Linked DNA regions of Danio rerio. Each later gene encodes a partner of the first gene's protein in a complex. Links are inferred from orthologs where the notes say so. Each region holds a gene or a part of one and is shown on either strand. Other genes may lie near its edges. The genes, in order: nup205 and nup107.

Region 1 (4,090 bases):
ACTGCAGATCTAAAAGATGAACACTTTCTGGTTGACGTCTCCAAATGGCCCCTTCCACAGCCTCCCAGAGCTCCTTCAGCGGCCCCCACAGACTGGCTCCTGCAAACAGAACCACAATCTCTTTACAATATATATATAAGGAGTTCAGATGCAAAAACCTCTAAATGAAAGAAACATTTTCTTAACCTCCAATGTTTATGTTCAGTTATTTCACTTGAAAGGCGATTAAAAGAACTTATCCATCACTATAAATGTAAAATTACTGAGCCAACACATAGGTAGTGCTGTCGCCTCACAGCAAGAAGGTCGCTGGTTCGAACCTCGGCTCAGTTGGCGTTTCTGTGTGGAGTTTGCATGTTCTCCCTGCCTTCGCGTGGGTTTCCTCCGGGTGCTCCGCTTTCCCCCACAGTCCAAAGACATGTGGTACAGGTGAATTGGGTAGGCTAAATTGTCTGTAGTGTATGAGTGTGTGTGTGAATGTTTCCCAGAGATGGGTTGCGGCTGGAAGGGCATCTGCTGAGTAAAAACTTGCTGTATAAGTTGGCGGTTCATTCCGCTGTGGCGACCCCGGATTAATAAAGGGACTAAGCCGACAAGAAAATGAATGAATGAATGAGCCAACACACGAGTCGGAGAAAAATGCTAGTTTTAGAAGAAAACATCAGATGGCTTTTAGAGGTTTTTGCATCTAAACTCTTCATATGCATTTCTCTATATTAGTGACTGAAAAAGTTGCTTTTTCACATTTTTCCTCCTGTCAGTGTGACGTATGATTAAGCATACGTATGATATAATATATAATAGTTTGAATTTTTCTGTTTTCAACTGATTATTTTTGTCATTTTGTTGCGATTTGAGTTTTACAGTTTTTGTTTCAGACTACTTCAACCCTCCTGTTTCTTAAGTGTCTGCAGAGTGCAGACTAGTGTTTTTCATACTTTAGGCTAGGGCTGTGCAATTAATCGAAATCGAATTGCAATCACAAGAGGCTGCTATATGAAATATATTATTTAATTTCCTCCACCCAGAGCAAATGTGTGACTGCCGTCTGTGTGTGACAGTCTTACTAGACAGTCTTACTGAGTGAGCACACTTTCATTCTGGCCAATCAGAATTGCTCAACTGAAAGTATGTAAAAGCCCACAATAAAAAAGAAAAAAAAAAGGAAAGCGCAAACGAGTGGGATGATGACATCTGCCGCTTCAAAAGCATTAATAGATGAATTTATATCAAAGAAAAACAGCAGGTCTGTTATATGGGAATATTTTGGTTTCAAAGTCACAGACACCGAACACAAACAGGCAATTTGTAAGAGCTGTCAAAGAATTGTTCCCACAGCATGAGGACATACAGCAACCAGCACCTAAAAATGCACCACAGGCCGCTATATGAGGAGTGTCTTGCTAAAAAAAATCAACTAAAAGTATTGGCTGTGACACTTAATCTAGTAGCTAGCAAAGTACAATTTCAGGTTGTTTGCTATTACTATTGCTATTATTTTTTTTAGTTCTTCATTTTAATTAACACAGAAGCTACAATACAGTTTATTAAGCTGAAGTTTGACTACAAAATTGAATTGCATATCAAATTGAAATCGCAATATCTGTCAGAAATAAAAAAATACAAATCGCAATTAGATATTTTCCCCAAATCGCACAGCCCTACTTCAGGCTAGTACTTTTGTCAATTTCACAAACTATCATGACCTATAAAGGTAAAAAAAAAAAAAAAAAAAAACTCAAGCTGTCAAATGTGCTTTTTTAAAGACAAAACAAAAAACTAAATGTTATAAGTATCTCAAAAGCAGAGCAACCAGTTGCCTCGACTTATAGGTAGAACTTACACAGTAGAATTGCAGAAGGTAAACAAAGACACATTATAAAACACAGACATTAACTTTCATTTCACTGACAATCATTAACAACATTCCTAAGGTACAAAACAAGGAAACAAATACATGAAAAATGTAAAATGGAAGACAAAATATTTAAATTGAGGTAAAGTTAAAGGTATATTCACACATTCAGATTTCTCCTCAATAATATAGTTTCGAGAAAGTATTTTTTGCAGATTATAAACATGAAATCATATTAGCAGTCATTGACTATCAAAGTACACCACATTTCACAGTCAAATAAATAGTGTTAATGTTGTTTAAAGTCAAACCTACATGTGATTTCAGACCCAATATTCAAAGTAACCACGTTAAAAACAATATAGGAAGCATGTCACAAGTTGCCACTGAACGAATATGTGCGCATATAAAATCAACTTGACCTCAATAATATGTAAACCACTAAACAACAGTATAAACATAACTCGTATATAGACATTAAAGTATCTTTAGACTTAAACCTAGACTTATCTTGTCCATGTATCATTTTTATTAGACGTAAAGGGCATATTCACGAGGCAATTTAACAGACATTGATGTTAGGAGACATTGATGTTTTAAATAACGTCAACTTATTTATTCTGGTCGCACAAAAGAACAAGTTTTACAAAGACTTTTACTTTAATAATACCTCGTTTAAGAAGAGCCCAGATAATAGTAAGCAATGTAACGTTAGTTGCGCATTTAGTTACACACTCTAAGCCTATTTTCTGGTGAAGGTAGCGATAAAGTGAATGGCTGACGAAGTACTTGTACTTTAAATGTATTAAAATACTTTGGTTTAACGTGCTAACACAAAAGTCAATGTTATATATCGTATAAAACATTAAATATGTAAGAATACGAAATGTATACATTAATACCTGAATTTACCGCCATCTGCGTCGCCATGTCTGAAGCGTGAGTGGGCTGCCCTGAATTCTGCCGGTGTGAAAACATAACTTTCGGTTTCTTTTGTGAAGAGATTTTATTTATTTACATTCGTATGCTCTTATTTATTGCCTTATTGCTTATTTATTTGTTTATTTTTATTTTTGACAACATTGGTTTGTTGTGTTTTTGCCATAAATACCACATGAGCGTAGGACCTATAGAAATAGAAGTTGGTAGAATCAGCATGCAGGTTGGTTCTTTGCTACAATAGCAAGCGGATACTGACACTACGAAAGTTGCTACTAATTTTACATATTCAGGGTGAATAATGTTTTATGTTTTATTTGTATAGATAGTTTTCTCAAATAAATTGATCGTCCTGACAGCTATTTACACATAAATCATTTGCTCAACGTAGGCAGCATTGTCACGTGGTGCATGTTATATTTCTCACCGTATTTAAGATCATACAAATCATAGTCATCTGTGATTACAGCGCCTTGCCATTTCAATAAATACGTTCATAAGGAAAATTGCTTTAAAATTTGCATTTGTTTAACGAATGTCGGTTTGGGTAAGCATTACAAACAAAAGGTTATATTATTAGCCAGCGTGTATCTTTGATTAGACAAAAAAACGCCCTTAGAACTTCACACGACTCAATGGACGGACCCGTTTTTGAGCCACCAAGCGAAATAGTTGACATTAAGTGAAATTGAGCGACTGATGCCTCACATACTGCCTGAAAATTATTAATATCCCATTTTTCTAGCACCAGAGGGTGGTACTGTCCTACAAACCCACCAACAAAGATCGAAATCAGGAATAATAATAAACACAATATCTCTTTTACAGAACTTCAAATGAGACTCTCAGTCAATTTTGCGAGGCAAAAACATACTGAACTTTTACTATAATAAAACCATGGGATATCAATTTTACTTTACTTTTTTTATTTTCTTACTAGACGCATAGATTGTTTTGCCCTTTATCGTAAGTATTTCAGCTTCAAGACATACTATTTTAAATACTAATTTCCTGGCCAATGGAACCAGAAAAAAAACGCAATGGTACTTTCCAAAGATAACACAAGTATCTACCTAAAAAGTAAGCGAGGGTTATGACATAATGATGAATTAATTTCCAATCAGATATCAGTATTATTTGGTATTTGGAGCATACAAATAATTTATTTTTTAAATTAAATCAAAATCATAAATACTTAAGTTCAATTATTTGGTTAAATCTAAAACAGCACAATTTATGTTTAAAGCTAGGAATAAACTACTTCCTAATTGCATAAAAAAGTTTTTTGAAGAAAGA
Region 2 (4,048 bases), on another chromosome or scaffold:
CAAATAGGCTCATTTTGAAACCCCCGTAGAGGTAAACATTTTTAACATTTTAATCTATTAATTCAATCTCCGGGTCTCACAGGAGCCCTTTAGCTTAGCTTAGCATAAATCACTGAGGCAGATTAGGCCATTAGCATTTTGCTCAAAATTTAAAATAAAAAAAGTTTTAATAATTTTCCCATTTAAAGCTTGACACTTCTGTAGTTGCATCATGTACAAAGACGGACAGGGATTAAAAATTGCTACGTTTTAGGTTGATAAGGTTATGAAGCATACTCTCATTCTAGCGTAATAATCAAGAAACTTTCCTGCCATATCATGGCTGATGCAGGCGCACTGATATTACACATTGATGTCATCCATTTACGTAGCAGGTAACTATTTTTAGGTGTTGCAAAATATCGCTGCGTCTGCTGCAGACATTGTACAGCAGAAAAGTTCCTTGATTTGACTTTAGGTCAATTCATTGTACAACAGCACTACTCACCAGATAAGCACGAATGCATAGATGTTCACGAATGGCATTCTCCTCTTCTGCAGGAAGTGGTGTGTCCATACCCTGCTCCTCCCACTGCCGGTAGATCTCACGCATGGAGTCTTCGGGCACTTTGGCGAAGACCATCTTAGCAGCGTCATGCTTCTTAGATGCTGTATTGTACATGAGTATAATAGAACAACACTGCAAATCAAAGAACTGATCTAATCTATCTGCTGTGTGTTAAAAAGAAACAAACATTCAATGTGTGATGTATGCATGCGAATCAATGAAGATTTCTATTTCTCTATTTTAGTTTTCCTTTAAATTTGTTTATATCTGCTGTTTACAGCAGACTTAAACTTACAAACTGGTCTGTTTACAAATGGCTTCTATTGATTCTCATTTGCAAGGTACTCTGGATAAAAGTAGAGAAATGTAAATGCTAAAATTCTTTAAAGGATTAATATGGATTTGTTACAAAGTGAGAGGATCTGAAATACATTTTTATAATGTTTGTGAAAGTCTAGTTTATTTAGTGCTACCATTAGCCATTTTTTACACAACCTACAAATGAGCTTGTACAACTTATCAGTGTTTCAGTGAAATTGTGTGTGAGACTGTAACTAATTTTTAAAGAGGAGGCAGTTGATGATATATAAAATGACCAATTACAACATTAATAGATTTTGATATACTATTCTGGCTAGGAAAGTCTCACCTAAGAACTTCCTCATGATGGCGTTGCTCTGTTTAAGTGCTTCAGCTCGTTGAGCAGGATCAAACACCAACCAGTCAATCACATCAATCTTCTGCTGATCCTCCTGTACAGAGAGGAAAAGTTGAATAGCAACACCTACTGCAATGGCTAACCTTAACTAATAAATGAGCTATACATAATGAGTTTATTAGTTTTTTTTTGTAAGCTAATTTTACTTAACTAACATCAATAAATCCAGTGCTTTCCACACATAGATTTTACTTGGGCGACTTTACTACTGCCTAGGTATATTAACGGCCGTCCAAGTATATTGGAGGACCGTTTTTTATTTTTTTTTAAATAATATTATCATCCTTTTACACTTTTTTCGCATCCATTAATCTGTTTGATTAACTAGTGGAAAATCTTCTCTCACCCAACACATTTCATACTGCTTATTGTGTGTGCGCGAGAAAACTGTCAACAACACAGTCTCACATGCTCTGCAGAGACCAACAGAGAGATGCCTATTTGAGGTTTAAAATTGCATCTGGCGACTCCAGCCAGTGTTTGTAAATCTCCTATAATATCCAGGAGTCAACTTTTACTTTCGCTTTCTTAAGTTGTTGCATTTTTGTATTATTCTTTTAATAAAGACTACTTTCCGTTTGGCTTCGCAGCTGACAGCGTGCACTGCGGCGAGACAGAAAGAAAAAGTAAATAACAGATTCTTTAAACGATAAAAATTTATATATATTACTATATGCTCAAAGAGAATAAAATGACATTTAAACTGCCTGTAAAATATATGTACACCATTAGAAATGGTCAATAAACTAATTTACCCTATTTAATAAAATCTAAACTTTCTTTTCTAATCATTAATAAATATCCATTTTAGAGATATGTCTGTTTTTATTCATTTTTCCTGTCATTTATTTCAAATTTGTTGTATGTTATTAATTTGATAATGTGAATAACTTACTTATTTTATACATATCTAAAATGCTTTGGCAATACTGTACTAAATATCATGCCAGTAAAGCATGTACATAAAGCTTTTTAGTTGTAGGAGTATTACATTCTTTCAGTAGTCATTTATCAGTTAATAGAGGCTAATTAGTTAACAAGTTATAATGGAAGGAGCTATAATAGAAGGAGAAGAAAATTCAAGAAAGACTGCAAGGATGGAAAAATAAAATATTTATATTTTACCACTGTATTTATATTGATTTTGTAGTATAATATCTGCGGAGATGTAAACATGTTTAATGTTGCAATTTTAAAAAAACACAAAACTACAATTTAACATTAAACATGTTTACATCTCCAAAATCTTATTTTAAAATCCAAAATCGTATGGATTAATGTGAAATTTTAAATAAAAAAGTAAACTAATATTTTTCCATCAAACCTGTGGTAAACAAGTTTTCATAAATGAAGAGTTCATCATTAGTACCACTGTAGTTGCCGTGTCCAGTGCAGGCGTCAGGTCATGGTGGGAAAATTCATCTGTGTCTCTCTCTCTGATGGTTTCCACTACCGTTTTTGTGATTGCTGCCACTTCCAAACCTAAATACCACAAAAAAATTGGTGACATTATAACCATTGGTGTATTAAGTATGTAATGCAAGAGGACTCTTTAGTGCAAAATAAACCTGCCTGCTTGTGTTGCGAGCTCCAGACAGTGTTTGCGCTGCTCAGTCTCAGTGACTTCCTCCAGGAACTGAGCATATTGTGACACAGCCAAATCTGCAGGAAGGTGACTGACGTAAAACGCAATGAGCTCCACCTGCTTTTCCTTCACCAACAGCGAGATGTAGGCCTTCAGGACATCTACACACACCTCCTCCTGATGAGTTTAAAACAAACGTGAACATTTTACTCACTCAGTGGTAATTAATAAGACATGGTTTTTAAAAATATATATGCGTTTGTATGTACCTTAAGCTGCATGCCCAAACTGCGATAAAACAACACTAAATGTGACATGAAGCGTAAGAGATGGGCTGGCAAAGGTGTATTTCTTCCCAACCAATCACTGAACTCCTCAAGAAGACCTTTAGATAAATTAAGAGGATGTTATTTCTTTGTTAAATAATAAATAAAAAAAAGAGTCTCAAAATAAAAATTTTCTGAAACATACCATCAAGATCTCCAAGAATCACAAACTTCTGAATCACATGGTAGTGCTCCTTGGTTGCGTCCAGAACTCTCTGTCAACAAAACATTTGTGAAGGATCAGAAAATAAACACCAATTTCCCTCTTTACATGACATTACCAATCAAAAATTGAAAACTTTACATCTGTGAAGTTATCACCCCATAAAAACAAATAATCACCAAAACTATGCCATTCGTTTGTGCTGAATTGTGCCGCAAAAATATTAAGCATTATTTTTTTGACCGTGTGACATCACTTTCCACCCCGTATTGCTCAAATGACAAATCAGCAAAGGTGCTTTTTCTGATAAAAAAAGATTTCAGAATAACTTATATTGGCCTAGACTATTTTAATATCTAAAAATAAAGCACCACAAACAAAAATTATATCAGCACAAACAAATTAAAATATTTTAGAATATCATACATGTGGGGTGGCTGGTGATGTCATTGTCTTTAATTCAATATTTTACTAATAGAAGCAGCACTAACGACACATTCATAGGTACAATCCAGTACAAATAAAACACACACAAACGAGACTATTTTGGTAAATATGGAGCAACTAGAGTCGAGACACCTCTGGATGATCTAGTATTATTTTTAGGCCTACAAATAATATTTTTTTGCAGTACAAACGAGCACAAATTGTGAGGAAACGAAAATAATCAATTCATGCACGAATATAAATATAAATATATTTTGGTTAT

What was found.
Region 2: the proteins of nup205 (region 1) and nup107 are in contact, whole or in part, in a cryo-EM structure (PDB 7WB4), measured with the Xenopus laevis proteins. The link is inferred for Danio rerio from reciprocal best matches to the Homo sapiens genes NUP205 and NUP107. Residues at the interface, in XP_041443600.1 of Xenopus laevis: Gly1247, Gln1248, Arg1249, Pro1250, Ser1458, Arg1506, Gln1507, Leu1983, His1991, Gln1995; in NP_001091312.1 of Xenopus laevis: Gln134, Glu136, Pro189, Tyr282, Tyr283, Gln770, Ser772, Phe773, Thr774.

Annotation. Positions count from the first base shown.
Region 1 is NC_133193.1:13,627,642-13,631,731, forward strand, and holds the start of nup205 (nuclear pore complex protein Nup205), read right to left. Parts: upstream 2,801-4,090; 5' UTR 2,786-2,800; coding exon 2,758-2,785; intron 100-2,757; coding exon 1-99. UniProt on the Homo sapiens protein: Plays a role in the nuclear pore complex (NPC) assembly and/or maintenance. May anchor NUP62 and other nucleoporins, but not NUP153 and TPR, to the NPC.
Region 2 is NC_133179.1:23,336,088-23,340,135, forward strand, and holds part of nup107 (nuclear pore complex protein Nup107), read right to left. Parts: intron 3,392-4,048; coding exon 3,322-3,391; intron 3,236-3,321; coding exon 3,120-3,235; intron 3,028-3,119; coding exon 2,838-3,027; intron 2,748-2,837; coding exon 2,635-2,747; intron 1,300-2,634; coding exon 1,197-1,299; intron 649-1,196; coding exon 488-648; intron 1-487. UniProt on the Homo sapiens protein: Plays a role in the nuclear pore complex (NPC) assembly and/or maintenance. Required for the assembly of peripheral proteins into the NPC. May anchor NUP62 to the NPC. Involved in nephrogenesis.